Mus musculus: one gene and its partners. The protein of the gene in region 2 interacts with the protein of the main gene of each other region in a pairwise test. Links are inferred from orthologs where the notes say so. Each region holds a gene or a part of one and is shown on either strand. Other genes may lie near its edges. The genes, in order: Ptpn5, Vti1b, Creb3 and Trim59.

The links.
Region 1: the proteins of Vti1b (region 2) and Ptpn5 interact in binary tests that used the Homo sapiens proteins (3 or more experiments, as listed by UniProt). The two-hybrid records come from large-scale screens. The link is inferred for Mus musculus from reciprocal best matches to the Homo sapiens genes VTI1B and PTPN5.
Region 3: the proteins of Vti1b (region 2) and Creb3 interact in a two-hybrid assay, tested with the Homo sapiens proteins (2 studies listed by BioGRID and IntAct). The two-hybrid records come from large-scale screens. The link is inferred for Mus musculus from reciprocal best matches to the Homo sapiens genes VTI1B and CREB3.
Region 4: the proteins of Vti1b (region 2) and Trim59 interact in binary tests that used the Homo sapiens proteins (3 or more experiments, as listed by UniProt). The two-hybrid records come from large-scale screens. The link is inferred for Mus musculus from reciprocal best matches to the Homo sapiens genes VTI1B and TRIM59.

The regions. Positions count from the first base shown.
Region 1 is NC_000073.6:47,074,920-47,082,441, reverse strand, and holds the end of Ptpn5 (tyrosine-protein phosphatase non-receptor type 5), read left to right. Parts: intron 1-468; coding exon 469-579; intron 580-2,834; coding exon 2,835-2,995; intron 2,996-3,082; coding exon 3,083-3,196; intron 3,197-3,523; coding exon 3,524-3,617; 3' UTR 3,618-4,644; downstream 4,645-7,522. UniProt on the Homo sapiens protein: May regulate the activity of several effector molecules involved in synaptic plasticity and neuronal cell survival, including MAPKs, Src family kinases and NMDA receptors.
Region 2 is NC_000078.6:79,157,420-79,165,111, reverse strand, and holds part of Vti1b (vesicle transport through interaction with t-SNAREs homolog 1B), read left to right. Parts: coding exon 1-164; intron 165-4,529; coding exon 4,530-4,703; intron 4,704-7,202; coding exon 7,203-7,264; intron 7,265-7,692. UniProt on the Homo sapiens protein: V-SNARE that mediates vesicle transport pathways through interactions with t-SNAREs on the target membrane. These interactions are proposed to mediate aspects of the specificity of vesicle trafficking and to promote fusion of the lipid bilayers.
Region 3 is NC_000070.6:43,559,530-43,567,847, forward strand, and holds Creb3 (cyclic AMP-responsive element-binding protein 3), read left to right. Parts: upstream 1-3,128; 5' UTR 3,129-3,283; coding exon 3,284-3,430; intron 3,431-3,520; coding exon 3,521-3,677; intron 3,678-3,751; coding exon 3,752-3,822; intron 3,823-3,939; coding exon 3,940-4,029; intron 4,030-5,731; coding exon 5,732-5,838; intron 5,839-5,937; coding exon 5,938-6,006; intron 6,007-6,590; coding exon 6,591-6,675; intron 6,676-6,764; coding exon 6,765-6,849; intron 6,850-6,939; coding exon 6,940-7,268; 3' UTR 7,269-7,532; downstream 7,533-8,318. Other genes in the region: Gba2 (non-lysosomal glucosylceramidase), read right to left, coding at 7,660-7,938, 8,196-8,318. UniProt on the Homo sapiens protein: Endoplasmic reticulum (ER)-bound sequence-specific transcription factor that directly binds DNA and activates transcription. Plays a role in the unfolded protein response (UPR), promoting cell survival versus ER stress-induced apoptotic cell death.
Region 4 is NC_000069.6:69,039,149-69,047,576, reverse strand, and holds the start of Trim59 (tripartite motif-containing protein 59), read left to right. Parts: upstream 1-2,834; 5' UTR 2,835-2,964; exon of another isoform or gene 2,965-3,171; intron 3,172-3,231; exon of another isoform or gene 3,232-3,319; intron 3,320-3,734; 5' UTR 3,735-3,809; intron 3,810-8,428. UniProt on the Homo sapiens protein: E3 ubiquitin ligase involved in different processes such as development and immune response. Serves as a negative regulator for innate immune signaling pathways by suppressing RLR-induced activation of IRF3/7 and NF-kappa-B via interaction with adapter ECSIT.

The DNA of each region.
Region 1 (7,522 bases), on a different chromosome or scaffold from region 2:
AAAAAGAGAAAGAGCTCAAGTGAGGAATCGAGTTTTATCCCAATAAATAAGTCCAGGTGTGGTATATGCATGCAGCCTTATCCCCAGTGCTCGGGAAGCCAAGAGACAGACAGACCTAGGCCTCACTGAACTTACATGGTGAGTTCCAGGCCCACGAGAGATCCTGTCCAAAAAACCAAAGTGGACTGCCCATGAGGAACAACACCTGAAGTTAAACTCTGACCTTTACACACAAGCACACAGACACACACACACACACACACATTATCCTATAAGATGGTATCATTTTCATTTTTCAAATGGGAGAAACTGAGGCTCAGAAATGAGAAGTAGGTCACAAGTTATGAAGTCAAGATTTCGACGCAGACTTCTAAAACGAAGCCTGTCGTCCTTGTAGACCCCAGCGGAGCAGGAAGGGATGTGGAAGAGGAGTGGGAATGTAACCCAGCCTGATCTTGGTCCTTGCAGAAGTGCACAGAATACTGGCCAGAAGAGCAGGTGGTCCATGACGGCGTGGAGATCACCGTGCAGAAAGTCATCCACACGGAGGACTACCGGCTGCGACTCATCTCCCTCAGGGTGAGGCATGGACCTAAACAGGAAAGGGATGTTGGGGAGGCTTAGTTGAGACCCCCACCTGAAAACAGTACTGAAAGGCCTACTGTAGGTGACACATCGACCCACGGCACTCCCAGCACGTACTGTTAAACAAGGGTCAATAGACTCAGACGCTAAGCCTTGCTTGCATGTGCCCTACGCCCTTTCTGTGCACTGCCGACCATAGCAGCTCTCCTCCACATCTTCCCAAGGCCAGCACTACCTGGGCAAGGAGGCTTCAAGGGCTTCCAGCATTGTCCTTATCGTAACTGAGAGTTCCTTTACGAGTTTGAGTGACAGTAATGTCCCTTCCACTGGGGTGCTGGCTTCCAGTCTGATGCACCCAAAATGTCCACCAGCAGAGGGCAGGCACTCCTTGCTGCTTTAGGACACACAGTCATGGTTACAGGAAATGGCAGGAAAAAAAGGAAAATGCACAAAATATGAGCAACACGAAGCAGCCCAGAAGGGTGGGGAAAGGGCATCCTCCTGCTGGAAAGTTGTGCCGTGTCCGGGATAAGCAGAAGAGGAGGGCTGCTCCTTTGGGGGCATCAAAAGATTCTGGTTTGGAGAAGCAGTGGGATGTATTTGTGGAGGTGAAGTCCCCTGTGATAACCCAGAAAGGTAGAGAAGTTAAGTCAAGCACCAGGAAGCTGATGCCCAATTCAGAAACAGCCTGATGCTGATGCTAACAGCCATGGGGTTCCGCCACAGAAAAGAGCTCAGGGCCTGACATTTGTCCCTCTGAGCGCCTCTGTCTCTCACTGGATGCAGTGCTGGGCAAGATGCCAGGGTGCCTTAGCCCCCACACTGTCATGGGGACAGTGTCCATATGAGCATCTAACACCAAGACTTCCTGAAAACCTTGAAAGCCGGGGGGGGGGGGGGCAGCTGCTGTCACAGCAGAGTGACCCAAGGACATGAGGAACCATCTCCCAAGTAGAGAGGCTAGGAGACAGGCTAGAGAAGAACCAGGGTGTCTGGGTTTGAGGGTGTTTCCAAGCACCTGCTTTGTGGTTCCGGGTCGAGTACCGGGGGCATAATTGTGTCCTGGATTGTTTCTTCAAGGAGCACCTGTAAGATGGTAAACACCAAGTAGTACAGGCAAGAATACAGAAGGGCAGTATGCCAGATGGCGTGCTCTGGGGTGAGGTGCCTGGCAGTGCTGTATGGGGTCCTGGAGGACTGGTAAGGGGTGACTAGTAGGGGACAAATGGAAAAGCTTTCCCATACATAGAAGGAGCAGCTGTGCATGCAAGCACACGTTGCCTGGATTGTGTCCTCCCAGGGCAGGAAGGATGATGGAGTGAGGAAACTTCCTGGGGTCTCTAAGGATATGAATCACATCAAAGGGGTGAACTCCTGCCCCATCTTCAAATTCTCACACAATGGAAAGGAGGTTTCAACATACGAAGTTGGGGGAGGAAGCCACCGCATTCAGTCCACAGTAAAGGGTTTCTTGGTTTGGTGTGGGATTAGAGGCCAGAACTCTCTTACTGAACTACATTCCCAGCCCTTTTTTCACTCTTTTGTTTGTTTTGAGACAGTCTCACTAAGTTTCCAAGGCTGGCCTAGAACTTGCACTGCAGACCATGCAGGGCTTGAGATTGTGATCTTTCTGCCTCAGGCTTCCAAGTAGCTAGAATTACAGGCCTGAACCATCAGACCAAGCCAGGTCTTAAACACAGCGCAGGGTATCCAGATTCGTGCTGGGGAAGGATCATGTTGATGCTATGGGTCTTTGATAGTCAGGGAGGAAGAAGGTTGGATCTTCCCACCATGGGATGGTAGAGCAGAGAGGAGGCTGACAGCAGCTAATGAGGACAGTGGGGTGGGCAGACAGAGCATAGTACCTGTGTTCTTGGTCATGTGACTAAGGGGTGCCTGGGACATCTGTCAGGATAGGAACTGTCAGACAGTAATAAGTTGGAGAAAAGCCCCTTTGCTTTTCTTCGATGATTTCAGAGTTTAGAGGCTAATGCTACATGCACGCACACGTGCGCGCGCACACACACACACACACACACACACACACACACACACACACTGATCTGTCTTGTGCCATTAAGCAGTATGGTAGATGGGGGACTACAGATTCCCTACTCTCATTCCTCCCTTCCCATCTCCATCTTTGGATCAATTCTGAAAGCATTCACATGTACTTGGGGGGTGTTCTCTCTCTCTCTCTCTCTCTCTCTCTCTCTCTCTCTCTCTCTCTCTCTCTCTCTCTCTGACAGAGAGGGACTGAAGAGCGAAGCTTGAAGCATTACTGGTTCACATCCTGGCCTGACCAGAAGACCCCCGACCGGGCTCCCCCACTCCTGCACCTGGTACGGGAAGTGGAGGAGGCAGCCCAACAAGAGGGACCCCATTGTTCCCCAATCATCGTTCACTGCAGGTGGGTTCTCCTGGCCACCCACTGGAGCCGGGCCACCCCATCCCTGGACTGCTCTGTCCCTTACCCCATCATCCCCTTGGCCCTCAGTGCAGGGATTGGGAGAACTGGCTGCTTCATTGCCACCAGCATCTGCTGCCAGCAGCTGCGACGTGAGGGCGTGGTGGACATCCTGAAGACCACGTGCCAGCTCCGTCAGGACAGGTTAGCCCGCTGATCAGGGGAGGAGAGGGTGGCAACATGATGTGAGCGTGAATCGAGGGATAGCTGACAAACCAGACATAGTGTGTAAGGTGGCTAGGGAACTGAAAAACCAAATGGGAGAGCACAGAATCCAGTCAGCTCTCTTCTGGAAGAAGGCAGAAGAGAGGCAGCTGGTTTGGAAAGACAGTGCTGAAAACAAAGGTGTGGCCCTGAAAGGAAGGGGCAGAGGGCAGTGGCTGGGAAGAGTTGGTCTCTCTAAGCTGCAGACTAGCTGGTGCCCCTAGTGTTGGTGGCCCTCCCGCAGCCTACTGCATCTCTACTGGGCAGGGGTGGCATGATCCAGACATGCGAACAGTACCAGTTTGTGCACCACGCCATGAGCCTCTATGAGAAGCAGCTGTCCCTCCAGTCCTCAGAGTGACCACGCTCTTCCTCTGAGATCCACTGGGTACTGCCAAGCCTGAGGCTGGGTCTTTACCCCAACTACCCAAGATCTTGCCTTGGGTCCTGGGCCTATTCCCTGGCCCTCCCCCTCATCCTCCCCTCTCTTCAGTCTGTTCCCCATCTATTGTCCTGGCCTGGTCCCTACCCCAAGCCTAGCTCTCCTACTGTATATACTGCAGAGTTGGGGAGGGCAGGGGAGGAATGTGCCAGGCCAGGCCTGGGGCCCCTGGGCCTGACCCACACCATATAGACCTGAGGGCCTCAGTTTTAACCATGGTTCCACAGCTACTTGGTCCAAAATGTTTCCATGCCACACCCCAAGTGTCCTACCATAATGTGTTCTGTCTGTCCATCTATCACAGCTATTTGTACCAAACACTGTGTCCCCTCAGCCAGGAAAGGAGCACTGAACTAAGCTCTCACCCCTCAGCCCTCACCCACATCCCCACACCAGACTCCCACCCTGCTCCCCAGGCAGAGATACTGACCTTCCTCTGGCCCCACTGGCTCCTCTGCAAAGGCAGAGTGCATTTTGCTACCAGGATGTGGATGGCAGAGACCAGGCAGGGGAGCACATGATGGTTGACAGAGAGATCCCAGCTAAGACAGTTCCTGGGCAAAGATGAGTATCTCCAGTCTATGTGGCACTGGAGAGGAAGAGGACAGATATAGTGGGGAACCCCAAAGATCTGAGCCCTGAGGGGGGCCTCCAAGAGTAGGATGTGGACAGCTCCAGACCTGTGAGACATCTTTCTGTGTCACTATGGGAAACCGCAAGTGTCTCCCTACATGTTGCTCTGTGTGTGTTCCCTTGTCCATGCGTGTGTTGAGAGCCCATGAACAGGGCATGCATGACTCTTTGGCAACATGTGTTATCTTGGAGCCACGTGTTTTTATTGCTGACTTTAAATATTTATTCCACGGCAAACGGAGACATTTGGTGTCTTTTTTTAATCCGCTCGTGGTCATTGAATAGAGCAATAAACAGAGCATTTTGAGCAAAACTAGCCTCTTGGGTCTGTCATTTCCTGCTCTCTCCTGACACCCTAGGCTTTTGTGTGCACCCCCCACCTCCCCACACCCACACCCACACCCACACCCCTCCCCGCCCCTAGCTCCTGCTTCCCAGCACATGTGCATAAAGTTGGCCCTCATGCTCGCTGGCGCCCCCTGTGGAGATTGTGAATATACATAAAGCTGGGTTTAAAAAAGAAAAAAAAAAAAAAACAGTCTATTAATAAATACCTCAGAATTCCCACTTGCGGGCTGGTGAGATGGCTCAGTGGGTAAGAGCACCCGACTGCTCTTCCGAAGGTCAGGAGTTCAAATCCCAGCAACCACATGGTGGCTCACAACCATCCGTAACGAGATCTGACTCCCTCTTCTGGAGTGTCTGAAGACAGCTACAGTGTACTTACATATAATAAATAAATAAACCTTTAAAAAAAAAAAAAAAAGAATTCCCACTTGCCTTCAGCCCCAGCCCACAGAGGTGCACCACACCATAGGGAACCTCAAAGATGTGTATGGGACGATTCCAGGAAGGCAAAGTAACTAACAGGTCACCAACTACAACAGGTGAGCCAAGGAGCCCAAGGGCAGGGCAAGAAGACATTTCCATCTCACCCAGGCTCCTCTCTCATTGGATAGCACACTCCTTTTCTCTGGAACCCCATCTGAGCTTTAGACACCCTTATTTTTTTTCCTTATTATCCGTGGTATCCCCTCCATGGTTGAATCTTTTAAGGCCCTGCTGGCTGGCCAGTAGCCCTGCCCCAGGGTGACTTCCGTTTCCCAGCAGAGAATCACAGCTACCTTTGCTTCATCCCAGGGGCCAGGGATAAAAGCAGAGAAGTGTCCCAAGTGGCTTATGATCTAGTTCCCTGGGGCCCTTTGTGGGGGAGGAGCTACTCTCAGCCCAGGCCTTACTTCCATGGGAAACTGCTGGTTTGCAGCCGCTATTGGGACCCATGGGGCTAACATGGGGTAAATGGACTAGTCAATAGGTCCAAAGCAGGGATGCCAGCTCAGGGAGATCTCCCACCCAGAGAATGAGCCTTTCTATGTAGATTTCAGACTGAGGAGGAGTAGGAAGGAGGAGGTCTAATGTTATCCCTTGCCCCACCAGGCCACAGAACGCAGCACAAACGGTATTCCCCAGGACTTGTGCTAAGCGGTACATCCACCAGACTCATCGAGTGCCCCTCTTCCCAGTACTGGAGAGACAAACGCCTCTGACTTTTTCCCCAAACCCTGTTAAGCTGTGCGTGCTATTGTGCCCAGGCACGGACAGGCACATATGCCAACCTGAGCCCCTCAGCTTGGAGAGGTCCCAACCTACAGCAGTGAGAAGCAGAAGGCATAAGGCACAGGAAGCAAACTGCTTGCCTGCCGCCTCAGCTTCCCTCAGGCCTGATCCCCGGCATTCTGCCCATTCTTGGGTCCAGCTTGCTCCCCTCCCCTAATTCCTACCACCAAGCTGTGTGCCCCAGTGCTGAGACAAGAGCCTAAGAAAAAGACTCCCCCAAAGGTCTATACAGCATCTAGGGATCTGGCAATGACCAGTGCCTGCTATTGGAACAAAGAGGGAGGAGACCGGCCATCCTACTGGCAGAGCAGTAGCTGAGCCTCCAAGTCACAGGCACAGTATTCAAAGGTTAGAAGGCACAGGTTAGTACAGAAGCTAAGGCTTCCTGCCATCTCCCCTGGAAAGAGCCACGAACTGGTACTTTCTGTACAAGAAAGGGATATGGTCTGAGGCAGAATAAATGGTCTCAGAACCAGAGATGGAAGGTATATAGTAAGGCAGGAACTGGGCACTAGCCTCAGAGCACCTGCTCGGGAGAAGGCTTTAAGCCTGGAGGCCACTGGGACAAGGCAGGGCTGGAGGAGCAAGAATCCCAGATGCTTTTCTTGGTGACAAATCTGGGTAGGTCATTTCAGTCACACATGTTTCCTCATATGCAAAACAGATTCTTAAAAACTACCACATAGCGGGCGTGGTGGCACACGCCTGTAAAGCACTCAGGAGGCAGAGGCAGGCAGATTTCTGAGTTCGAGGCCAGCCTGGTCTACAAAGTGAGTTCCAGGACAGCCAGGGCTATACAGAGAAACCCTGTCTCAAAAAAAAAAAAACAAAAAAAAAAAAACAAAAAAACAAAAAAACAAAAAAACTACCACACAGGTTAACTAAGAGGCAGGTACACCCACTCACTGCAACACCAGGGTTATCATCCAGAACAAAGAAAAAGCCTTGTAAACTGGTATACGGAGACCCCCAAGGCACAGAGAGAACACAGGGGCAGAACTGTGTGTCTGACAGGCCTCCTGACATGTACAGTGGGAAGGCCACATACACATATACATGTCTGCATTGAAGAGATCCAGAGGAAGCCCCATGCACATTGCATGCAGGTCCCTATCTGGGGGCCCGAGAGGCGGTGAGGAGATGTTTATGGTACTTTATGTTTTTAATATATTAAACTACTGGTTCAAAAAAGCATAAGGAAGAAAGCTAAGGCTCTGCTTTGTCCTGTGTCACATGGAAGCAGAGCTGTGGAAACAACAGTCACCTGCCTCACCATCCCAAATCCCACGAGTCCCCAGGACCCCGAAACAAGAGCTAAGCAGCTTCCTTGCAAGGCCTACCCCAGAACGGGATAGTTAGAAATCCCTCCTTGGCCTGACTTCCTTTCCTCCTGACGAAACACCCAGCCCTGCCTTCCTCTCCCACATACCTTTCAACAGGTCCTCCAGCCCTCTGTGAGCCCTATTCAGCTGAGTAAGTTTAAGCCCCTTATTCTCCCTCTCTAGGAACCTGGGATTGTTTGTGTTGCTGGGTGAGGAACAGGCTCACTAGTTCTTCTAACCAGTCAGGGAAGC
Region 2 (7,692 bases):
ATGCACCCCTGACTTTCCGTAACCCCATGATGTCTAAGCTGAGAAACTACCGGAAGGACCTTGCTAAACTCCACCGTGAGGTGAGAAGTACACCTCTGACAGCCGCTCCTGGAGGCCGAGGAGACCTGAAGTATGGCACGTATACCTTGGAGAACGAGCATTTGGTAAGTGTTAGCTGCTCCTTCCTTACGGGCCTGTGGTACAAGAACTAGAGGGTTTATGTTGTCAATGTATATTGAAGTCTCGGGTTTCTGTTTTCTTACTCTTGGCCTCTTTCCTGCCTCTAGTTGCCATTCTCCACTCTACTTGCTGCTTTTAAACTCCAATCTGTCTAACTATGTGCCTAGAATTCTTTGTGAGCTTAGATAGACAGGTAGATAGGTAAACAGACAGACAGAGCAGTACTTTGTCTCTCCCAAACCTAGAAACTGTTCCAAGCTAGACTCTGTATTTTGACCTGTTGGTCGAATTCATTTTCTTCTTGGGCTTTTCTTTTTTTCATATACATTTTAGAATCATTTTCTTGGGTATACTCTCAACATTCAGTTGGATTTTAAGTGTTTGTTTTGTTTTTGAGATAGAGTCTGGTATTCTCAAGTAACTATCCCATCACAACCTCCCAAGCAGCTGCTGCTCAGTTAGATTTCTAATTCATCACAGTATTTTTTACAAGATTAATCCAAGCTTTCTGTTAGCTTAATATATCAAGATGGCCCTGAACCTGGCAGAGAAACACAGAGTACTTCTCAGTAGGGCCATTCTGACACCTTGTCTTGTAAAATCAGCCAGACTGCTTCTAAGTCAAATGATTCTGACATAATATTGGGCTTCAAGAACCCATATCTTGAAACCATCTGGAGAAGCTGACTAGTTAAAGGAATAAAATAAAAAAACTTCCAAAGTTTAATTTAGTGTGCTGTATTTGGATTATAGTCCACAAAGAGCAAAGTTCACATAGAATTTGTAAAAGGAATGGAAAGGGACCCAGCACTGCAAAATTAATATCTATAGAAGGGCTAGCAGGAAAACTGTAAATGCTATGTCAGGATGTATTTTTATTAGAGTGTGAGAAACAATGTTCTACTGACTTAACATTGCTGAAGTTTAAGCACATCTTTTGGAGAGGAATGTAAAACATTGGCATGGAGACAGATGGCAGCAAAGGTAAGAGGCTGGGAACCCCAGAGTCATGGGGCAGGCCTGGGAAGCCATACAGTGAGGAGATGGAGGAGTTCAAAATGAGGCTTCCGTCAGTGCTGCATCCCTTGGAGGCCCCATAGACCTCTCTGACAAGCTCCGTAGCTTCTATCTCAAAACACAAAACACAAGACTTGGTGCTCACAGTGATTGGACTTAGAGACTTAGAGAATGGAGAGGGTCAAGCAGCTGCAAACGGTCATTATCCAAGTCAGAGTCTGTGTCAGCTGCAATCCTCCTCAGATGGCAGCCAGACCAGCACATTTTGTGTGGCAGCATAGGCAAGCACTCATTGCCAAGGTCACAGGCATTGATGGGTTGCTGGATGCCTTGTATGGCAAGGTGCTGACTGAAGAACAATGCCAGACACTTTGTGCAGAGACCACCAATCAAAGCAAGATAAGGGAGCTTTTCAGCTTTGCTCCAGCCTAGAACCTGACCTACAAATACTTCAAGTTCCTGGGGTATGCACAGCCCTACTTGGTAGCTGATCTGCAGCAGATCTGAAGTATCTTCCCTAGCAGTGGCCCCTACATTAGTTCCTGGCTTCTTAGACACAATTTTTGAAGAGAAAACAAAACAATTTTGAAATGGATGCATGTGAGTACACCAGTGAAGGAAGGCTGAAAAGGGCAAATAGAATTTGTTAAAACAGATATTATAAAAAAAATCACTCTGGTAATTTTTTTTTCTAACTTCCCCCTCAAAAAAAGAGTATTGAAAAGTCCAAACATTTACTTTAAATTTATTAATTTCAAAACATGTAAGTCAACTTGAAAGAGGATTGTCACCATGATGCCAATACTGGCCTCAAATACCCCGTAGAGCTGCTGACTCAGCAGCCCGAGTCCATAGTATAGATAACACCTATACCTTCAGTAGGATTATCCCATGTCTATCTGAGGCTGATTTATGTAGCTAAACATGTGTGCCTTTAGTGGGACTATCCCATGTCTTTCCAAGGTTGATTTATGTGATGTTATCTTTTCTTGCTCTATTTTATGTGCGTAGGTGTCTACCTCCATGTTCACCATGTGCATGCAGTTCTCACAGAGGCTAGGTGAGGCTACTGATCCCTGAAACTGCAGTTACATATGGTTGTGAACCAGTACGTGGGTGCTGGGAATTAAACCCATGTTCTCTGAACGACAGCCAGTGCTAATCCCGGAGCCATCGCTCCAGCCTCTCTTTATTACATTATTTATTTTGTATGTATACATAAGCACGTGTGTGGAAGTCAGAGGACCACATGCAGGAGTTCCCATAACTGAACTCAGGTCTTCAGGCTTGGCACTGAACCATCTCACCAGCACCATTTTAGCTGCACTGAACCTCACTCTATTGACCAGGCTGCCCTCAGAGCCATCCTCCCACATCTGCCTCCTAGATGTTAAGATTGCAGGCGTGCACCACACACGATGGGATTTATTTGATCCTCAGTGGTTTCTTCACTTACTCGTCTGTATGCTATTTGTAAAGTAGACATTCTTATTTTAAGAATCTAATTTAAGAAAAAATTTGAGAGAGTATATAGTCCTTGAACTCCCTATTGTGCATCAGGCTAGCCTTGAACTCACAAAGATCCTTTTGCCCCTGCCTCTCTTGTGAGTGCTGGAATTAAAGGTGTGCACCACTGTTCCAGCCCAAGAGGCTAATTTTCTCTTCTCTTTTTTCTTTCTTTTTTTGATACAGGATTTCTCTATGTAACCCTGACTGTCCTGGAACTCAGATCTGCCTGCCTCTGCCTCCTGAGTGCTTGGATTAAGAATCTTAATTGTTGATGACATCTTATGCCATTTGCCACCTGCTCTGTAGTAAGTTCTGTGAGCTGAGCCCCTCTTGATTATGTGTGCTACCCCATCTCTGCCCATCTTTATTGATTCTGGCCAGACGTGGGCTGCTTTTGTAGTCGTGCTGCATTTAGGATTAAAGAGAAAAAAACTTCAGTGAAGATTTAGAGTTCTTGGGAAGTTAGGGAAGCTTGCTTGAGGTCCAGATTCCCCTTCTCTGTGAGCAAGTCACCAGCGTGATCACTTGAGAGTGCTGTTTGGCATGAGGTGATGTTCTTTTTTGGTGGTATTGGTGGAGTTCACAAACAGATTGTAGCCATAGAACTTTTTTCAAGAATGTATCAATGTCTCTAGCTTTTAGTGACTTCTATGCTGAGAAAGAATACCTTATTTATGGTCTATAAATCTTCAGGACCAGTCAAATGGGAATCTTGAGGGAACTAATTATTTTCTAGAGTTCTGGGGAGTTAGTTGTTTACTTGTGGCCCTATGAAAGGCTAGCCAGGCATGACGACACACATTTACGGTTCCAGCACTTGGATGTTGAGCCAGGAGGGTCATGATGAGTTTGAAGCCAGCTTCAATTACAGTGAGACTGTCTCAAAAAACAAAAATGAATAAATATTTGAAAAAGTTTTAACTTTTAAAGTCACAAGCTTAATCAGGTCATTTTTGCACACACTACCACCTTCTCAAGTCTGGATGCTGACTGAAGTTGCTAGTAACCAATTACAAGTTTATAATGGATTTTAACTGGTCTACAGGAAAAATGCTCCGATTTTTTTCAATCTATTTTCAGAAGTATAACAGGAAGTGGGATGTACCTGCTTTAGTCTAGGACCTTGAAGAGGATCTTATGGTTCATTAGAATCTTTGATTCAATTTTAAAAAGCACAGCTAACCAACTCTTCATACCCACTGCAGCTGAATACCCAGTCAGCTTTGGATTGAAAATATTTTTTAAAAGTATTATATTTATCCAGGCATGGTGGCACCTAGCTTTTCATCCTTGCACTTGGAAGGCAGAGACAGATGGATCTCAGTGAGTTGAAGCCAGGCTGGTCTACATAGTAAGTTCAAGGTTTGCCAGGACTACACAGTAGAACTCTGTCTCAAAAAAAAAAAAAAAAAAAAAAAATTCCAGTTTTGAGGGATCCAATACCTTCTCCTGGCATCCATGGGCACCCTGGTGCACATGTACACATGCATAAATAAATCTTTAAGAATGTTTTTATTTGATGAGCATCTATTGATGATTTTCTTGTCATGATTCTCTTGAACAATATTTACATAATATTTACCTTTTCTCAGGTATAAGTAATCTAAAGATGATTTAATGAATTGGGAGGAGAGAGAGAGAAAGAGAGAGAGATGTTATATGTAGATACTTATACATAGGACTTCAGTAGAGTGCCCTAAAATCAGTTTCCTGCAGAAAGAAAGGAAAAACTGTAGTGAAAGAAGAAAGTCACAAGGAATGTATTGACAAAAAATTCTTAATAATGGAAGTAGCCTAAAACTTTTCTTCCTTACTCCTGTCAGAATCGACTACAGTCTCAAAGAGCATTACTCCTACAAGGCACTGAAAGCCTGAACCGGGCTACCCAAAGCATTGAGCGTTCTCATCGGATTGCCACAGAAACTGATCAAATTGGTACAGAAATCATAGAAGAGTTGGGGGAGCAACGAGACCAGTTGGAACGTACTAAGAGCAGAGTAAGTCTGGGCAATGTGTAAAATCGGAGGGTCCTTCATACCCAGATGTCGTACTAAAGCCAGACACTACAGCAGTTCTGAATTCTGGAAATAACTCTTTTATTCTCTCTCTGGGAATAACAGCCCCCTCCCCTTTTCACAATTTTTAAATTGCTGGGCTAAAAGATTCCCCATTAGAATTAATACAGAGCCAAAGGAGATGGATTAGTCGATAAAGTCAGTACAGATGTCCATGCATTTGCAACCCCAGAGTTTGGGGGTAAGGATTAGAAAAAGTTGGATTTTTGGAGCTTGCTGGCCAGCCCAGTGTATTGAGAGGTCCTTTAAGGTGGTGTAGCCAGTTTTTGTGGGTTCTTCTACCCTTCCCCACCCTCTCAACCCCCAACACAAGATAGGAGAGGAAAAAGGAAAGAGAGGAAAGGGGGTGATGTTATTGTTAGGCTACTTCCTGCTGACTAGGAGTATAGAGCTTCTTGTGTCAAGTTTGATCTTCAAGATTTCTAATTTCTTCTCATCTCTTTGTGCTTAACTGCTTGAGAAACCATGACCAACCACCAACAGCAACAATCAATCCATCTTGTTTCTTGGGACTCTAGCATTTATATACCCTCTGAAAAGTCCCCAGAATTCCAAACATCACACAGTCACAGAAACTATATGCTGCTGGCAAAATCACACCCCTGCACGAGGCAAATCAAAGTCAGCTGCTATGGACAATCTGAAGTAGCCCCATATCTTATACCTGGGATTAAAACAAAAACATATTCTTATATCTCTGTGGGGTTTTTTTCCTAAGATTTATTTTTATTTTATGTGCATTGGTGTTTTGACTACATGTATGTATGTGTGAGGGCACCAGATGCCCTGGAACTAGAGCTATAGATAGTTGTGAGCTGCCATGTGGGTGCTGGGAATTAAACCTGAGTCCTCTGGAAGAGCAGCCAGTGCTCTTAACCACTGAGCCATCTCTCCAGCCCCTATTTCTGTGTTTTAAAGAAAGATAATAATGCCAAAATTGCCTACAGTGTGGAGAGCAGTCAAGGAAGGTACCCTCCATACCCACACAGATGTGCACATACAACAGACATAAACACACAAAAATACGTAGATGTGTCTATAATATTTGTGAGTTGAATCTTGCTATTTAGATCTGACTGCTGGCCTGGAACTCAGTGATCCTCCTGCCTCTGCCTACTGGGATTAAGGTTGTGTGCCACCATGCTGGGCCGCAAAGCAATAATGATTTATACTATTTCATGTCTCGCTTTATTCATGAAAAGAGAATGTGAAAACACCAGTAAGGATTCAGTGAAAGGAGATTTTAATTTCAGGTCTAACAGCATATTTTTCTATTCTTAAAAAAAAAAAAAATTGTGTGTGTAGGTTTTTTGCCTGTATATATATCTCTGTATCACATGGTCCTGGTGCCTAAGGAAGCCAGAGACATCAGATTTCCTGGGACTGGAGTTATGCTTGTAAACTGCCATACCCATCCCGGCAATAAACTCAGGTCCTCTGGACAAGCAGCAAGTGCCTTTTTTTCTTTTTCTTTTATTTTTTTCTTTTGGTTTCCTGAGACAGGGTTTCTCTGTGTATCCCTGGCTGTCCTGGAACTCACTTTGTAGACCAGGCTGGCCTCAAACTCAGAAATCTGCCTGCCTCTGCCTCCCAAGTGCTGGGATTAAAGGCATGCAACACCACTGCCCAGCACAGCAGCAAGTGGTTTTATGTGTTGGGTCACCTCTCCAGCTCTGTTTTCCTATTCATGACAGCTCACAACCATGTCTCCAGTTCCAGGGGATTCGATGCCCTCTTTTGACTTCTGAGGACACCACATATCCATGCGGTGCACATACATACATTCAAGCAAACACTCATACACATAAAAGTAAACCCTTAAAAACACAAGCAAATACCAACTCAGGAGGCTCTCCAAGTATTTAAGTGATAAGATTCAAATCATAGGTTGCCCTGCAGTCACTGGCCCAGCATAGGTAAAACCTTATAGCCTATATGGCAGTCAGAAAGGCTTGGTTTTAAAACTGTGGCACTATTCTCCTCCCCGCCTCCCTTTTTTTTTTTTTTTTTTTTGTTCTTTTCCTGAGGCTGGGTCTCATGTAGCTCTGGCTGTCCTGGAACTCTCTGTAGACCAGGCTGGCTTCAACTTGCCAAGCCTGTTTCTGGGATTAAAAGTGTGCGCCACCATGCTACCATGCCTGTCGCTTTCCTATCTGAATAGCCAAGGTGAAGGATTAGTGACCTCACAGCCGCCCATGCCTATAGGAACAATGAGATATAGTGCTTCCCTCCTTAATGAGCACCCAAACACCTTGACTTTTCTAGGTTCCTTTACTTATACTTAATAGCTTAGATATAAGCTATTAAATTCATTTGATTCTTTGTGTCTTAACAAAGACCTTTTTAATGCCCATGTTCAAGTTCTATAGATTTTTTTTTTTTGGAAAGGATTAGGAGATGACCTATTATTTTCTCTTCCAGCTGGTAAATACAAATGAAAATTTGAGCAAAAGCCGGAAGATTCTTCGCTCAATGTCCAGAAAGTAAGTTTCAAAAACCCCCACAAATTCTTGACATTTAATGTATTTCAACTAAGAAAGCTTAAACCAGTGACTTAACAAATGTCCTGGTAAATCACCTTGGTGCTCCCCAAGCCCTGCTCCCTGCCCCGAAGTCACTCAACAGCAAAGGACAACATAGTCTGTATGTTACATATCTCAGGAGATTGGTAAATTCATAGATTGTTCCAACATAAATAGTGGGAAACCTGTCTGCTGAACAATGTCAGTCCCAGTTTCTCTCTCTTAGAGGGGACCTAAGGAACCAATAGAGCTTTTCTGCTCCCGGGAACATGTTTATGAACACCCGGTGTGGGAGCACGGATAGTACTTAGTTCTTGCCTTTTATGGCAGGCCTTTTTTGGGAGTCCTGTCTTGTTAGCAAGAAGTATTTTAAAAGAACAAAAACAAGC
Region 3 (8,318 bases), on a different chromosome or scaffold from region 2:
TGAAGCCAAAATCCGAACCCAGGTCTCTCTGCCTCCAAAGCCCAAGCTCTCTCCATTAGGTCAGTCGAAGATGAGTCAAAGGTATCGTCCCAGGCACAGAGAATAGCACTAGCAAAGGTTGAGAGGCAGGAGATCTCGGAGGAATGCCCAGGAAAGTGAGGAGGCAAGCTGGCTGGAGCACGGGGCACCTGCAAGGGAGCAGCGGTGGGGACGTCAGGGTTAAGATGGAAAGGCAAAAGCGGAGAGAGCAGTATGAGGAACCTAACTGACTGGAGGGGAACAGGAGGCCAAGGAAGCTTTAAACAGGGACATCCCCAGCACTGGGTTTTCGGGCAACTCTGGGGCCAAGTTAGGAGGAGACTGTATTAGTATAAGCGATAATAAAGCCAGAGTTAAAGCTGTATGGAGAGGAAGTTGCCATTCAGAAGAAAAGTAGAACTGACATACAGGACTCAGAAAACTGAAGCCAAAATCAGCTTCCTATGACCAGTACCCATTTACTGACTAGACAGCTTCAGTTTAATAAACCAGGGAAGGAGAGGGGACTAAGTCAGGATGTGGGAATGACGCTGGGTGGTAAATGATGCGATAGGAAGTATCTGTAGCAGGGGCACAGAGGTGGGGTTACTGACAGTATTAGGCTGTGGCTGGGGATCACAGGGTGTAGAAAAAGAGACCAGGAGCGTGATGGTAGGGAACAGACACATGATGAGCCACTGAGCAGGTGGGGAGGGAAAAGCATGAGTCCATGGATGCTGACTAAACCGGGGATGACAGGGAGGCCGGAGGCCGGGTCAGGAGCTCCAGAAGAGCTAGGGATGTGGTAAGCTGCTAAATTGGGCTAGTGGGGAGAGAGTGAGAGAACACTGACAGCGGCTAGGCAACCCTGGGTTGGAAGGAGAGGCAGCATGGGGAGGGGACAGTGTTGTGGTCACTGGCAGGGTCAAGCTGGGAGTGACATGGGGGTGTGGTCAGTGGCCTGGCTGGGCGTGGGATCAGTAAGACCAAGTTTCCTCTTTGGGTATCATTTCCTCTTTTCTGTCGGGGAGTGGGGGAAGGGGATCCACAACTGGACCTAGAAGTAAAAGGAGGCTCAGAAACCAGGGGGTACACATGGGAAGAGCCCGGTGGCGGGGGGGGGGGGGGTTCAGCAGCTGACCAGGTGGTATGCAAGTATGAGAAAGTGCTCTCCGATGTTGGGAAAGCTCAGGTTTGAGGGACATGAAGTAAAGTAGGATGTGTGGATCAAGAGACAGAGACAGGGGTGTGGGGGTGGGAAATGGTTCAGATGAACAGCAGGAGACGAGCTAAAGACCACGACAGTATCTGTAAGGAACTGTAAAGGTATGCAATGTGGGACCAGGGAGGGCAAAGAGACAGAGAGAAGGCAGTGTGTGGAGAATGAGGGAGGCTCGAGTCAAACTGTCATCATTTAGTCGACAGCGTTCCCTTGGTCAGCTTCCCCTCAGTCACAGGCTTCCTATTCCCCATCCTCACTTAGGACCTTGTCTGACTCCTGGGTCTCTTTCCATTTCCCACCTCCCACCTCGTAAACATCACAGCCCAGAAATCCCTGTCTCCCAGTGGTGGTGGCCTCTGGAAGCCTTGTGCTTAGGCAGTAGACTAGAGAAAGCAGAGTCCTGGCACTTCTAGCTGAGGTCCAGAGCTCTAGCACTTCTTTGGGTAAAAGAGGCCTCTGTAACTGCACAGGAATAAGAGAACTCACTACAAAACAAAGGTAGCTACTTCCTGCCAACTTCTTACATTTTACCAGCTCAGCTGTAGCTGCAGCCTCAACCCCTAACGCTATCACCAATTCCTAACATTAATGCTGACTTTATTTCCTATTTCCCTATACATTGACATTCACCCCTTTCCCAGAAGACACCCATACTAATCTGGCTTTTATTTTTAGGCCCAAATCCCCCAAATTTAACCCTAAATACTCCCTCCCACCCCACCCTGCAGTTCTAAAGCTCATTTGTAACTTGGTTCTTAATTAACCTTTTCACTGTTTATTCTTAATACTGACCATGACACCGGCCTTTAATCCCTAAAACGGGCATCTAAGCCAATTCCTGTTGATCCTTAACCCGATCCTGTACTCTGACTTAATGCTGGTCATTGCAGAAAATAATGACCTCAGTTTAAATGTCACATATGCGAAACAGACTTGACTCGTGCAGCAAATGTTTAGAATGTAGTTCACCTTCTTAACTTCTAAAGGGATCCTTGCTTCCTAAACGCGACGGCACCTAACCCAAACTCACCCCAAGTTTTCCTAACCACTTACTCACTATCGGCTAATACCAAAGCCCATCCCCGCCCAGTGCCTCACTGCCACCCAGTGCCTCACTGCCACCCCATTTCTACCCGTCCCCAAACCTAGCCGAGACAGAGAACTGTCTACCCCCGCGAAAGGGCCTGCTTCTCGCAACAAGGCCAGCTTAATTCCAAATCCAAACCGAAACATACTGGACCCTGACCTCCCTAACCAGACACAGGATATGCAGGAGGATTGGGGGCCCCGCCCGCCGCTTCCCGGGCTGGCCCGATCCCGCAGCCCCACCTAGAAGCTCGGCCCAGCCCGTCCGGCCTACCTGCGCTGCCCGGCTCTGCGCCCCGCCCTGGGCCCGCTACCCGCTCCTTCTCCCGGTCGCTTTTGGGGCTCCGGCCTCGCCCTCCCTTCGACACACTCTCGGCCACTTCCGTCCTGGAAACGTCCCCCACCCGCCGGCGGCGCCCTGGGCCCGCGCTCTATGGTAGCGGAGACTGCAGGAAGCTGCTCTGGCCGTAGTTCTCGATGCTCGGGCGCCCGCGAAGCCTGGCCGCCCCTCCCCAGCAGGAAGCGAGCGTGCAGAGCTCTGGAGAGAACGCCCGAACTAAGCTGGAGTTCCCTTTTAAACGCTTAAGTTTTTTTTTTTAATAGCTCGAGGCGAAGGCGGACAAGGATCCTCAGAATCCCCGCCCTGGGGCGTGGGAAGCTTGAAAGGACGTCCCCATAATTTGCATAGCCCCCGGGACGTGGCGCAGCCCAGGAGCCACTTCCGAGTTGGAGAGAACTCCAAGTCCCAGGATTCCACGGGGCTATGTGCACCACTTCCGTTGTGTTGGAAGCTGAGGAATACAGAAGCTGAGAGACGGGTGCGGTTTAGAGTGACAGCTAGGCCCTTGTCCCGGAGTGACGGAGGTTAAGTCGAGCCGACTGGACAGACTGAGGGGTCGTGCCTGAGGTTCGGAGGTTGGATCTGCGCGGAGGGATTTCTATCCATAGATATCCCAAATGGATCCTGGTGGTCAGGATCTGCTAGCTTTGGATCCCGGTGATCAGGACCTGCTGGGCTTCCTGCTAGAGGAAAGCGGAGATTTGTGGGCTGCGACTGAGCCGGACGTGAAGGCTCCGCTGGACTTAGAGCTGTCACCTTCCGAGGTGGGTGGGTGGGTGTTCCCAGTGGGGGAAGCTAGGGATGTCCGCGAGACCCAAGGTACGGAAATAAATCAAGGCCTTTGAATTTGATAGAACTCCGTGCAAGAACTGAGCGACTGGGAGGTAGAGGATTTACTGAGCTCTCTGCTCAGTCCCTCAGTATCGCGGGATGTTCTCGGCTCTTCCAGCTCTTCCATTCTCCATGATCACAACTACTCCCTTCCACAGGAGCACGTCTCCATAGATCTAGGTGAGTGTGAAATGATAAGTTGTGGGGGAGGAGAGAGCTCACTGGGCTAGCTGGTTCTACTTTCCCTTTTGCAGATACTGAGAGCTTCGAAAAGGAGGGGTTCCACGTGACTCCACTGCCAGGGGAGGAAAGAGCAGCGGAACAGGTGCTGGACTTGATTTTTTTTTTCAGGATTACCTCACTTTGCAGCAGCCAAGATCCCCCATACTGCTCTGAGAGCTCCATGCAACTCTGCTCTCTTCACTATTTCCTCCATCCTTAGGAGATGTCTAGGCTGATACTGACCGAGGAAGAGAAGAAGCTCTTGGAGAAGGAGGGGCTCACTCTGCCCTCAACCCTTCCTCTCACTAAGGTAAGGCTCCTGTTGGTAGAGCAAAGGCTGGAGGGGGTTGGTAACCCAAGTAGGCAAGCTCAGTTTGTTTCATATCAATCACTTGCAAAAGGACAAACCAACTCCTACAAGTTCTCTCATCTCCAAACACACACCCACGTCAAAAGATAATGTTTTAAATGTAACTTTAGTACAGAGCCTTGAAAGTGAAGGGCCTTGATAGCTTCCGTTGTTATCTTGGGACCTCGAATCATACTCAGTGGTAGAAATGCTTGAGAGGCTGACTCAGTCTAACAACATCAACAATCGTCAAAGCTGGACATGATGGTGCACCCCTCTATAACCCTAGCACTCTGGAGGCAGGAGCAGGAAGGTCTTCACAAGTTCAAAGTCACTTCCCACGTGCTGGGATTACAAGAATACTGCATCTAGTTTTTGTGGCAAATTTTTTTAATGTCATTTGCCTTTTTAATATTGTCTTACTTCTGATATGTAGATATTTACTTATTTGGGGCAGGTGGATCAGCATTAACGGACAGACTTAGCTTCATGTTGAGTTCAGGCAAGCTTGGGCTATGTGAGAAACCATCCCCTATCCCTCTATCACTATTACAAGATGAATGAGCAATATATTGGGAGGAAAGGAAACGGAACTTGGAAATTATCAATAGTGGTTCTGTCCCTAGGATAGTAACTGTCTTGTCTTCCTTTACACTGGCCAGAGCATGCCATAATTCCCCTACCCACTGGGATTGGAGTACAGTACCTCATGAATGTTCATCAATGCTCACTGCTGAGCCACGCCCTCTGGCCCTTGTTGTTAAGGCAGGGTCTTGTAAACCCAGGCTGGGCTGGCCTCAAACTATGTAGTAGGGAAAGAATGCCTTTGAATTCCTGATTCTCCTGCTTCTAACTCCCTCGGACTAGATTACAAGTGTATGATGTCACTCTTGGCTAGTGTCCAAGTTTGACAGGCATTATCAGAGAATGTAAGAGTTAACTTTATTCAGTTTTAGTTTCTGAAAGAAAAAAAGTTGAAAGTACCTTAAGATAAGGATATATTCTATATCACTTTAGAGACTCTAGGAAAATCAAATGAATGGAAATTATAAGAAGATTGATGTTGCTTTAGGATAAGGGTAGATGTTGTTGTTGTTAGTTTTGAGACATGGTCTTATGTAGCTCAGTCTGTCCTCAAAAACTACCCTAGCCAAGGATGGTCTTGAAATCCTGACTTCCTTCTTCTGCCTCCCAAGTGCTGATACTACAGGCATGTACAACCACACCTAGCTTAAGTGGAATTTTTAAAATTAATTAGAGACTGGAAAGATGATTCCGTGGTTTAGAGTACTTTCTGCTTTTCCATGGGGCATGAGTTCAAGTCCCAGCTCCCACATGGCAGCTTACAATCCGAGGAGATCTGACACCCTCTTCTAGCCTATGTGGGCACTAGGCACACCCATTATACATATACGTTATACAGACATGCAGGCAAAACACCCAAACACATAAAAAATAATAAAAAGTCTGGCTTTCTAGTGTTGAATATCTGCTCCTTGGTGTTCACACAGAAGGTAAATGCCTACTGACAGAGAGGCTGTGGAGAGTATTTGATTGGGAAGAAGGTTAGCTGTCTTCCAACATACCTATGTAGTATATATAGGTATAACATACAGGCATATAATAACATACTGTGGGTGACCTTTCCCCCATCTTCTCTTAGGTGGAGGAACAAGTTCTGAAACGAGTGCGGAGGAAGATTCGTAACAAGAGAGCAGCTCAAGAAAGCCGCAAGAAGAAGAAGGTGTATGTCGTGGGGCTGGAGAGCAGGTAAGCAAGGATGGACACGGGGGAAGCCTGGAGGGTCTTGAAGGGAGGAGACACAATATTTTGAAATCCACGTGTCCTCACATCCATGTTGTCCTCTAGGGTCTTGAAATACACAGCTCAGAATCGGGAGCTGCAGAACAAGGTGCAGCGTTTGGAGGAACAGAATCTGTAAGCGGCCATTTGAAGACAATCGGTTTTTTAATGCTTTCTCACTCTTTCCACTGTTCCACATGACTTCCAACTGGATAGCTCAAAAATGCAGACATCCGGAAGTTAGCCATGTCTCAAGCGTGATGGAGAATAAACTTATAAGTAGCTAAGGAGCAATTAAGTACCAAGATAGAGAAGTAAGAAAAGACTGCAGGTCGTCAGCGTCATTGCAGTTGCAGCTGTGGGGATGGGACTGGGAGGAGAGAAGGCTGCATTGTGCTTGGCTGGCTCTAGCTCTGGGGTTGGGTAGAGAGCACAGGGCTTGGTGGGGAAGCACAAGCTTAGTTGATCAGGTACTGCAGCTACTGGAGAGTTTTTCTTGAAGGTATTTAAGTCAGGACAGAGCAGTTTGATTTTTTTTTTGTCTCACTAAGGAATCACAGGCATTTGTGCACAAAGACACTTGGGGTGAGGGGGAAAGGCAAGGAAGCTGAGACTGGATCCACAGCATGAGTGGAGAGGGTAGCTAAGACAGGAGGCCTTCATCGTGCCTTGCATGCTCGGCCAGAGCATGCGCACTACCGTCTCCTCTCGTCTCTTAGGTCCCTTCTAGATCAACTGAGGAAGCTTCAAGCCATGGTGATTGAGATAGCCAACAAAACCAGCAGCGGCAGCACTTGTGTTCTGGTGAGGAGGGTGACAAGAGATCCTTTCCCTGGCAGAGATGGGGTGTGTGACCCAGAGCTCTTCACCCCCTTCTTCTCCCTGTGTTCTAGGTCCTCGTGTTCTCCTTCTGTCTTCTCCTGGTACCCGCTATGTACTCCTCTGATGCAAGGGGAAGTGTGCCCGCGGAGTATGTTGGTAAGAGGCTTAAGGACACCTTCGGGCGTGGTCTGTGGTAGAGAGAGGGCTTCTTCTGTGTGGTCTCCTGACCAGTCTTTGTCTCTTCAGTGTTGCACCGCAAGCTTCGTGCCCTCCCCAGCGAGGACGATCATCAGCCGAAGCCATCTGCTCTATCGTCAGAGCTACCCATGGACAGCACACACCAGTCACTGGACAGCTCAGAACATATGTTCTTGGTCTCCAGCAACTTTTCCTGTGTACTGTACCACGCGCCTCAGGCAGAGCAGCCCCTGCACTGGCCACTCTGGGATCTTTCTTCAGAGATGCTCTTCTCCGACTCCAACCTTCTCCTGCAGGCAAACCTTTCAGAAAGCGAGGGATGGCAACCTAACCACAGCCCTTCTTTGGTCATCTTTCAGGGCAGGTATTCAGGTTAGGTGTGAGGATGTGGGGTGTCCTCAGCCTGAGGACTCCTGTCTGTATTCAAATAAAAAGGAGCAGGGGAAAGCTGGCCTTTGCTCACGTGCTCTGTTAGGATGCCCAGGAACTCAGACACACCACACTAACTAGTTTTCTGAGTATTTTATTTATACCCATATGTATCTGTTGCCCCGTGAATAGATTTGGAGACATTTACTGGCCTTGAATACTTCATCCATGGAAGGACTGGGTAGGGTAAGAAATAAATAAGTGGTTCCTCAGCCCCTTTTTACTGGCACAGCTGGGAAGGAAGAGGGGCGCGATTGTCCTATTGGCTCAGGGCTGCAGGACTTGTGGGAGGAAGGAGGAGGTCCAGTGTGGAGGCTGGGCCTCCACAGTTCAGAGGGATCACTCTGAATTGAGGTTTGCCAGCGATCTCTTTGGTCCACATTCAGGCTGTGTGCTTAGTCCCGTGCCTTGTGTGACTGATGGCCTGCGGCTCTTTTTATGCTGCTGCTGTTGCAGGGCCAGCTGCATGGCCCAGATGCTCAGTGGCCGCATGTAGGCCAGGGAGCGGAACACTTGTTGCTGGCAGTATGCCTCTGGGGTCTGGAAAGCCAGGCCCAGGCGTTCCCATACAGTGCGGTAACAGCCTTCAGCTGTCCGGAAACCTTCCCAAGTCAGGCCCTGTGGGGAGACGTAGAAGTCACACATAATAACTGACTCTTGGCACAATTACCTTAGCTGAGCAGAGAAGACAGGAGGCCGTTCGCCCTAAAGGCAAGAACTTAAAGGCAAGAGGTGGAACACTTATTAGGGAGAAGGGCGCTCTGTGGACGGATAAGATGGCAGGCAGTAGGGTGTTCTTGGAATAAAGTTAGTGGCTGAGGAAGTTTTCTGGACCTCAGTACAAATGGTGAAGGGCTGGGAAGAGAATTCATTACCTCTTGGATCATGGTGGCTGCCAGCCCATAGACCACACCCACCCAGACTTCATCAGACTGCACACTGGATCTATCAGGGACACCATGAGGGTGCATCCCGTTCACGGCCCCCATGGCTCCTCC
Region 4 (8,428 bases), on a different chromosome or scaffold from region 2:
GCGCCCTCAAGCCCTTCCCAGAGTTGAGTGCCTGTGTTCTACTGGTAAACAGTGATCTGCCTCACAATTCACTTGAGGTCAGAAATCTATCTTGAGGCTGGAGCTAACATTATATTAAACAATGTATCCTGGGAAGGAAGAGCTTGCTAAGACTTGTAGCCAATTCCTTAGCAGCTGGCAACAAAGTTATCATTGTATGACCTTCATGGCTCACCAAAAAAAAAAGCAAAACTAGCAAAAGAAACATTTTCCCTGGGCCTGAAATGTTAGAGAAATTTGTCACAGAGATATAATAACAATTTTGTTTAACAATGGCTGATTATTTATTTACTTATTTAGGGTCAAGGTCTCAGTATGTAATCCAGGCCTCTTGCCTCAGTTTCCCATGCACTGACATTACAGGCACATACTATTAAACATGGCTTTCTCCATGATTCTGAAGAAAAGCATTATTGAAGAACATGCTTTTTATGTATGTTTCGAGATAACGTCCCAACCTCGTGGCCCAGGCTGTCCTCAAACTCATGGTATAGACTATGCTGGCCTCTAAATTGCAGGGATCCTCCTGCTTTAGCACTAGAGGTTTGACCACATTTGACGTGGAATACATTCTTTTTGTTGGTAGTGTGTGTGTGTGTGTGTGTGTGTTTCTAGACAGGGTTTCTCTGTGTGGCCTTGACTGTCCTAGAACTAGGTCTGTAGACTAGACTGTCTACTAACTCCTGAGAACCAACACTTCTGCCCCCAGAAGCTGAGATTAAGACTGTATGCCATGACTGTCTGGCATGAAACCCATTTGCTGGGTTACAGTTTGTGCTAATTCTCACAGAGTGAAGGGCTGCCTCAAGTTAGGTGGGGTTGGTATGCGGATGACTACAGCTGAAATCACTTGAGGAACTCTGACGTTAGCCAGGACCAGCGGGCCTGCATTTTCCTGTCTGCAGCAAACAGATTCTTGTGGGAAGACTCTCCTTCAGATAAGAAAACCAGAAAGTATCCTTGCTGGCCAGAGACTTAGATGGGGCTACAATGAACGTTTCCTAACAAGCTCCTTGAAGTAATCCTTAGCTTCTACTAGCTTCTGTCTGTCCCCATCTTTTTAGTATCTTTTAGTAACAGCCCTAGAACTTGCCTTCTAATACAAATATATGTTCGCTCTGTAATTCCTCAAGAGTTTATTGTTCTTATCTAAGACAGTATACAAGCTTCTACTGTTTTTATTTTTATTTTTTATGTGTACGAGTGATTGTCAGTGTAAGTATATGCCATCTGTGTGTGTCTGCAGAGCCAGTCAAGAGTGAGCTTAGATCCCCTGGAGCGGGAGTTACAGGCAGTTGTGAGGGGTCCACAGTCATGCTGGGAACTGAATTTGAGAATAGTAAGTGCTCTTAACTGCTGTTACCTCTGGTCAGTTAAAAACAAATAAAACCCCGTTTATCTATTTCTTTAATGTGTGGTTTGTAACGTGCATGCATGCGTACATCACATCCTTGCTTAGTGATCTGGGAGGCTAGAAGAGAGCATCAGATTCCCGTGCAACAGTTGTGAGCTGCTGTGTGGGTCTTCTGGAAGAACAGCCAGCGCTGACTTTCTGTTTCAAAGCTCAAGACAAAAAGTTTTCAAGCAAGGAGTCTGAGGAGCGCCAAGAAGATGTTAATGTGCGCTCAGCGGTTTGGCTTTTCCATGGTGGGAACTGAACACGCCAGGCGAGCACTGGAACTGAGCTACACCCCCAGCTCAGAAGTCACATTTCTGTTCATCATCTTTCCGATATTATACCTGTAACAAAACCACGTATTTCCCATCCTTTATCCCGTTTCTCAATACTCTATCACAAAGGGAGTATTGGGAGTGTGTATATCGTAATGGAAGACACCCAAAGCAGCTGATTTTTTTTTTTCAGCCCAAAGTTTTCGAAGGCTGACGCCCCAACACATGAGGTTTTTAGGTTTACGACTTTTACGCTTTGGTGCCTGTATTTGAATTGTAATTTCTAGTCTTTCTTTTCCAGACCAACACTATCATCTATAGAGCGCATGAATAACAGTTCATAAATCCTGAGTAGCGCTGCCGGTCAGCGTGGAGCTGCCTTAGTGCTAAGGCTCCTCTTCTCTGCCCCTTCCCCATGTTTGGTTACAGAACTTTCTGGCAGGGTCGGGCACTCTATGGACCTGTAAAGCACACTCCTTGAAGGCACAATCCATTTTCCTTCCTCTACGCCCCCTCTTTCCATCTTGTCTCCGAGGTCAAGTCTTGCTGTGAGTCTTAGGCTGACTTGGAATCTGCTCTGTAGCTCACACCGGCCGGGAGCGGAGAGCGGTCTGAGCTCTGGAATGGCGTTTCTCCGAGAAAGTGAAAAGCCACTACTGTGTTTTCTGACCCAGCGTGTTAGAGAGGACAGGGAGGACACAGATGAAGGCTTAGGCGCGCCTAAGTTGGAGGACCGGAGCCTCACGGGGGCGGGCGAGCGCGCCGAGCCCTCCAGCCGGTGACTGAACAAGGAACCTGTGAGGTAACAATGGAAGAAGCCTGCGCGCCGCCAGCTCCAGAACCATCCCGTGCGGGCGTGGTCCTAAGTAATAAGCAGTCCCTCAGCCAGCCGCCTCCAGAAGCCGCCGGGTCACCCGCGCATCCCCGCCCTCGCGAGGTCCTGGCGCCAGCCCTTCCCCCCCAAGGCGCGACCCCTGCCGCCCGTGCGCTTTCCGCGCCGCGCGCTAGTGCGCAGGCGCCTGGCCCTCGGCCGTTGGTGTTCAAAGGCCGCCCGCGCTCTCTCATTGGCGGAGGCGGCGCGGTTGAAAGTCGCTGCGGCGCCGCCGGCCCCGCCCCCGCCGGGCACCTGAAGACTCGGGCGAGCGCCTCGCAGTGTCCGCACCAGGCTGCCCGGGAGCCCTCGCCGTGCGCGCCGTCGCCCGCCTCGCCCGCCTCGCCCGCCTCGCCCGCCTCGCCCGCCTCGCCCGCCTCGCGGTGAGTACGCGGCTCCGCCGGGGAGGCGGCTCGCTGCCCCTCTTTCTCGAGCGCCCGCGGCCCCGGTGCGTTCGCCGCCGACTTGAGGATGGGGAGGCGGGCTGGGCTCCGGAGGGCGTGCGCTCGCCTCTCCTCGCTTCGCGCGCTCGCGGGTGGAGCAGCGGCGCTCCGAGCTACCGGCGGGATTGAGGTCGTAAGGGCCGGTAGGTGAGCCTAGCAGATCCCGCAGCACCGCGCGGGGCGAGTGAGCCCTGGGCATCCTGGACAAGAGGGTGTGACTGCCATCTTTGAGCCACTTCTTTGTTTGGAGTTCACGTAGGACTTATGCCCATTGTACAGATGTGAACCTTCATAGGTAAAACTGAGGCCTGCAGCGTTTCGGAGACCACCCAATGTGTTGATGGGAATAATTTAACGTAGTTTCGAGCTGGGGATATCTACGCGCGAGGATATTTCTAGTCGTCTTGCTGAGTTTAAATAAAACTTTGAAGCGGGGCATGAACGTGCACGCCTGTAACCCCAGCATGGGGGCAGACAGAGGCAGCAAGCTCTCCTGTGCGTTCCAGGTCGTCAGTGAGGACTACAAAATTAGTCTCAAAAAACCCACCAAACCAAACTATGAGTGTTTAGTTCCCATCATTGGTTAATCTTGTCCAGAGTCAGAGATTCGTTATGTTGTAAAAAGTCCTTTGTGTGGAAATGGTTGGGACTTTAAAGATGAAATATTTACTGCAGGCAAAATCTGAAACATTAAATTGTTTTACTTTTAGAATAACAAAGGATCCTGGAAAAGTTGGAGAAGATAAAGTACACCCAGTGTCCAGATCAGGAGATTGACAGACCAGGTAAGCTCTGGGAAGTTAACTGGATACGAAGAAACATCAGGATATTAGAGTGTGTGATTCCTGGGCTATGATGAAAGATTGAAAAATCTCTTGAAAAAAAGATGTATATTGGAAGTGTATAAAATTTTAACCATCTTATGGAGGAAGCATAAAGTGAGAAATGACCTAATCTAAAAGGTATTCAGTTTTTTGTTTGATTCTCCCCCCCCCCCCAAAAAAAAAAAAAAAACCAAAAAACAAAAAACCATGGTTTCTCTGTGTAGCCCTGGCTGTCCTGGATAATTGCTCTGTTGACCAGGATGGTCTTTAACTCAGAGATTCCTCTGCCTCCCAAGTGCTGGAGCCAAAGCCATCACTGCCTGGCTAAAAGATTTTCACTTTTATCTAACAGACATTTTATAAGCATGTGTGGACGTCTTAAGTCATGCACACAAAATGGTATTGCCTTACACGTTTGCACGCTGCATTTATTATTCAAGCTACCTTTATTCCTTTTTGCCCAGTATTACACATTGATCTACATTTTTAGTGAGCCAAGGTCCTGTATTTTAACCTGGTAAAAAGTAAAATTTTGACTTTGGGTAATATATATATACTGACATTGCAAATATGTTGCTGAATGTTTTCCATCAAATATATTTTCACTTTGAAAAACTATTTTTTGAATACTGTGTTTTATGTATATTGGTAGACACACTGTTTTCACATTAGTCTTCACATGCACACTAGGAGAGGGCAACAGATCCCATTTCAGGTGGTTGTGAGCCACTGTGTGGCTGCTGGGAATTGAACTCAGGACCTTTGAAAGAGCAGCTAATGCCCCTAACTGCTGAGCCATCTCTCCAGCCCTAAGAAATAGTATTAAAAAATCAGTTAAAGTATAATTTCTCATGTCAATTCCTGGTTAAGTTACATTAGTAGCTTCTTTCATAGCTTTGTGGAATAGGTTTATATTAGAATGAAACAGAACAAATCAGTAAAGACTTAAAGTTAGATATTGCTATAGTATTTTTTAAAATTATAATTATATCTAGTACAGTCAGGACTATACAGAGAAACCCTGTCTAGAAAAGGAAAAAAATTATAATTTTACATTTACACATGAAAATATTTTAAATTCTTCTAGACTGAAAATTAACATACAGTATATAAAATATGTCTCAACACAAGATTTTGTATACGTCTATAGTGACTGAGAAAAGTTTATTTTAAAGTTTTGTCTTATGGTAGTATATAAATGGCATAATCATAGCAATTCTCTCTTCGCCCCCCCCCCCCCCCAAGCCTGTAATTTCACACATTAGACTTTTTTATCAATTAGGGCCACAAGGCTGTGCAGCCCAGAAGTGGGTGTAGCACGGCCTGAGTTTTCCCAGGCTTCTGTGGCAAGTCATGGAGCAGTGTGGTTTGGGAAACATAATTTCCTTGGAGATTGTAAAATATATAAAAATATATAATTCGACCCTGTGTGATGGATGGCATATGGCTTACAGTCTCAGCTTTCAGAGGTGGAAGAATTCAAAGTCACCTTTCCTATGTGTGCAGTTTGAGGGCAGCCTAGAACACATGAGACCCAGTTCAATAAATGAAACAAAAGTAAAAACTAATGAGTATTTTATGACATTCATGCTCAAAGATGAAGAGCAGTTAACTGTTGTGAATTAAAATCTAGAAGCACAGGATTTTATATCTGGGATCCTTGTAGACGTAAAAAGTCAGTCGGTTTTGTAAAAGGATGAGAAACTTAGGTGTGTTTATATTTAAACACAAGAACTTCGTGAAATCACTTACAAATAGATAATTGAGCCTTGCGATAAAATACCGTGACCCAGTATTAACCTGTTTTTTATTTTTTTGGTAACTTAAATTGAAGTGGGTTATCTTGCTTAACTATCAGTTTTTACTTCAGATTTTAGTACTCATTGGAGGAAAATACATTTCACATGGCTTATTTTTGAAATTGATTGAAATTTATAATCTGACAGGAAAGAAAATAGTTAAAAGGTTTCATAGTTCCTCTTGTGTTTTACAGTGCATACATGTACCATTGAAACCCTTTTAATAATGTAGACAGTCAGTGCCATTACATACATTCACTTTGGTAATCTTCAGTAAAACCCATTTTCAAGATTTTTTCATCTTGCCATATTCTAGCTCTGCACTCCTTAAACGGTGGCTGCCCTTTCCTCTCCGGAGGCTGCGGTCTTCACAATCCCACTTTCTGTTTCTAATCTGATCCTTGCATTGTTTTTCAAAATCTAATGTGGTTACACGGTTCACCCTCCATTGCCCTCACTGAGTGAATTATTTCAGATTTCCTGTTACTCAATTAACAAGGTTCATGCAGTTGTATTGGAGAGTGAGCCTAGAACCTTACTCTATCACTGATGTACAAGCCCAGCATAGTCAGGATGGGCATTCTTTTAATGTACTCTCTTCATTCTTGCTAATATAGCTAATTCGCTAATTATATTCTATAAAGTATCTGTTTTGGGAAATTAGTCTATTTTTAGTTTGTATAATCTCTGCAGGGCTTTGGGATCCTACTATATACTGTCTTGAAATTTGCATACTTATATTTGTACTCTGGGACTGATGAACAAGAATTGGTTTCATGACCATTTGAAAGGATTCATCATAGATGCTTGCCCCGACCCTCCCCAGCCCCCTGTCCAAGATAGTACTTTTTTAACTTGTAAAATGTTCCAGTTTGCTTTTTTTTCCTGGATCATTCTTAGTAATTTGAATTGATTTGTTCAATACTTTGAATACTTCATTTGTTTTAAGCCATCAGATATATTGGTATAGAGCTATGCAAGATACTGTGTTCACGTTGGGCCTTTTCTCTCCTTTTGTTGCTTTTCTTATGTATTTTTTAAAATTTTTTCCTCTTGTCAGTGCATGTGTGTTCCTCTTTCAATGACCCCAGCTCAGGAGTGTGGGGCTTTGTCTGGTGTCTGAGGTTCTCAGACTCTTCATGCTTGCTGGGAAGCTGCTGCTGCTACGGTTGTTTTTGTTGTTGTATGTGAATAAGTAGCACAGGTACAGAGTTCTGGGGTAAAACCTTTTTCCTTCTAGAACTTAGGGACATTTTGTATATTGTTTTCTTGCAGCATTTCTTTTGGCTACGTATGTTTTCTGACTGTCTGCTTTTACATAACAAACATTTGAAAGCTTGGCTAATTATATTCAAAGAAGAAAGACTTTTTACTAGTATGTCTGGCATCTTAGTGCTGTTTTTAAAAAACCAGTTAGCCCCCACTTTTTCCATAGCATCTGGTTGCTAGGTGTGGTGGCTTCGGTGAAAATGTCCCCCCATGGGTTCCGTAGGCATTTGAGATGAACACATAGTCCCCAGGTGGTAGCACTGTTGGAGAGATTGTGCAGCCTGTGGGAGGACATGTCTGCTTTGAGAGTTGAAAGTCTTGTCTCACTTTTAGTTCTCTCTGGTTCATGCCTGCCTTTAAAGAGTCTCATAGCTTCCTGCTCCAGCTGCTGTGCTGTTCTCATTATGAACTCTAACCCTCTGGAACTGTAAGCCAAAATAAACTGTCTTCTATGAATTGCCTTGGTCATGGTGTTTTATCACACAACAGAAAAGTAACAGATATGCATATAGCTTCTTAAGAATTATACATAGAGCTCAAAGTATTGCTTTCTGACTTATACAAAATTACAAAGTTTTCTGGGGTTGTTGGTAAACAGTTTATCTCTAGATAAAAGGAGTAGCAAATTATATTTCTTGGGTAATTTTTGTATGACTTCATAGTTCTCTGTGGATGTGGGTTAAATTAAAATCTTAAGTGCTTGAAGTAAAATTAGTTTATCCAGTTAAATTTAGAGGCACCTGGTCTAGGAAAGCTACAGTCTCACAGAAGGTGGCTAAGGAGCTAAGGGCTAAACGGATTTAAAAGGAGTTTAAAAAGAACAGTTATTTCTTTTCTTTTCTTTTTTTTTTTTTTGGTTATGTTTTGTTTGGTTTTTCGAGACAGGGTTTCTCTATGTAGCCCTGGCTGTCCTGGAACTCTCTGTAGACCAGGCTGGCCTTGAACTCAGAGATCCTTCTGCCTCTGCCTCCCGAGTGCTGGGATTAAAGGCAAGCGCCACCACTGCCCTGCAAGAATAGTTATTTCTAAATGCTATTGTTACAAACTTGGCGTTGGGGGCTTAATGCAGGACCTCGTGTATACTAGACATCACATTCTACTACTGAGCTGTATCCCAACCCTGTTTTTATGAACTTAACTTGGGACTGGTTTTATATAGAATTTTTGTCAGCCTTTATACTCTACATAAATACTAGGATTACTCTCCCCTCCACTCGCCAAAGGCTGTGGTTTTTGCAGATTTATGGCTTGCATTGTGAACAATACAAAGCAAAACTATAAAAGTGGGCTGTAAAACTGCCAGCCTCGACTACCTAGTCTCTCTTCCCTTCTCTGCCTCTATCACCTTTCCCAGGTCCCCAATAAACTCCCTTTTTATATTTAAAAACCAAAACCAAAACTGCCAGCCTCTTGGAGTCTCTGAACTATTTTTTTTCCTTCCTGTTTTAGAGATAGTCTCAAAACACATTTTTTAAAAAACCGTATTTTTAGTTAAGTGTGTTGTGATCAGAT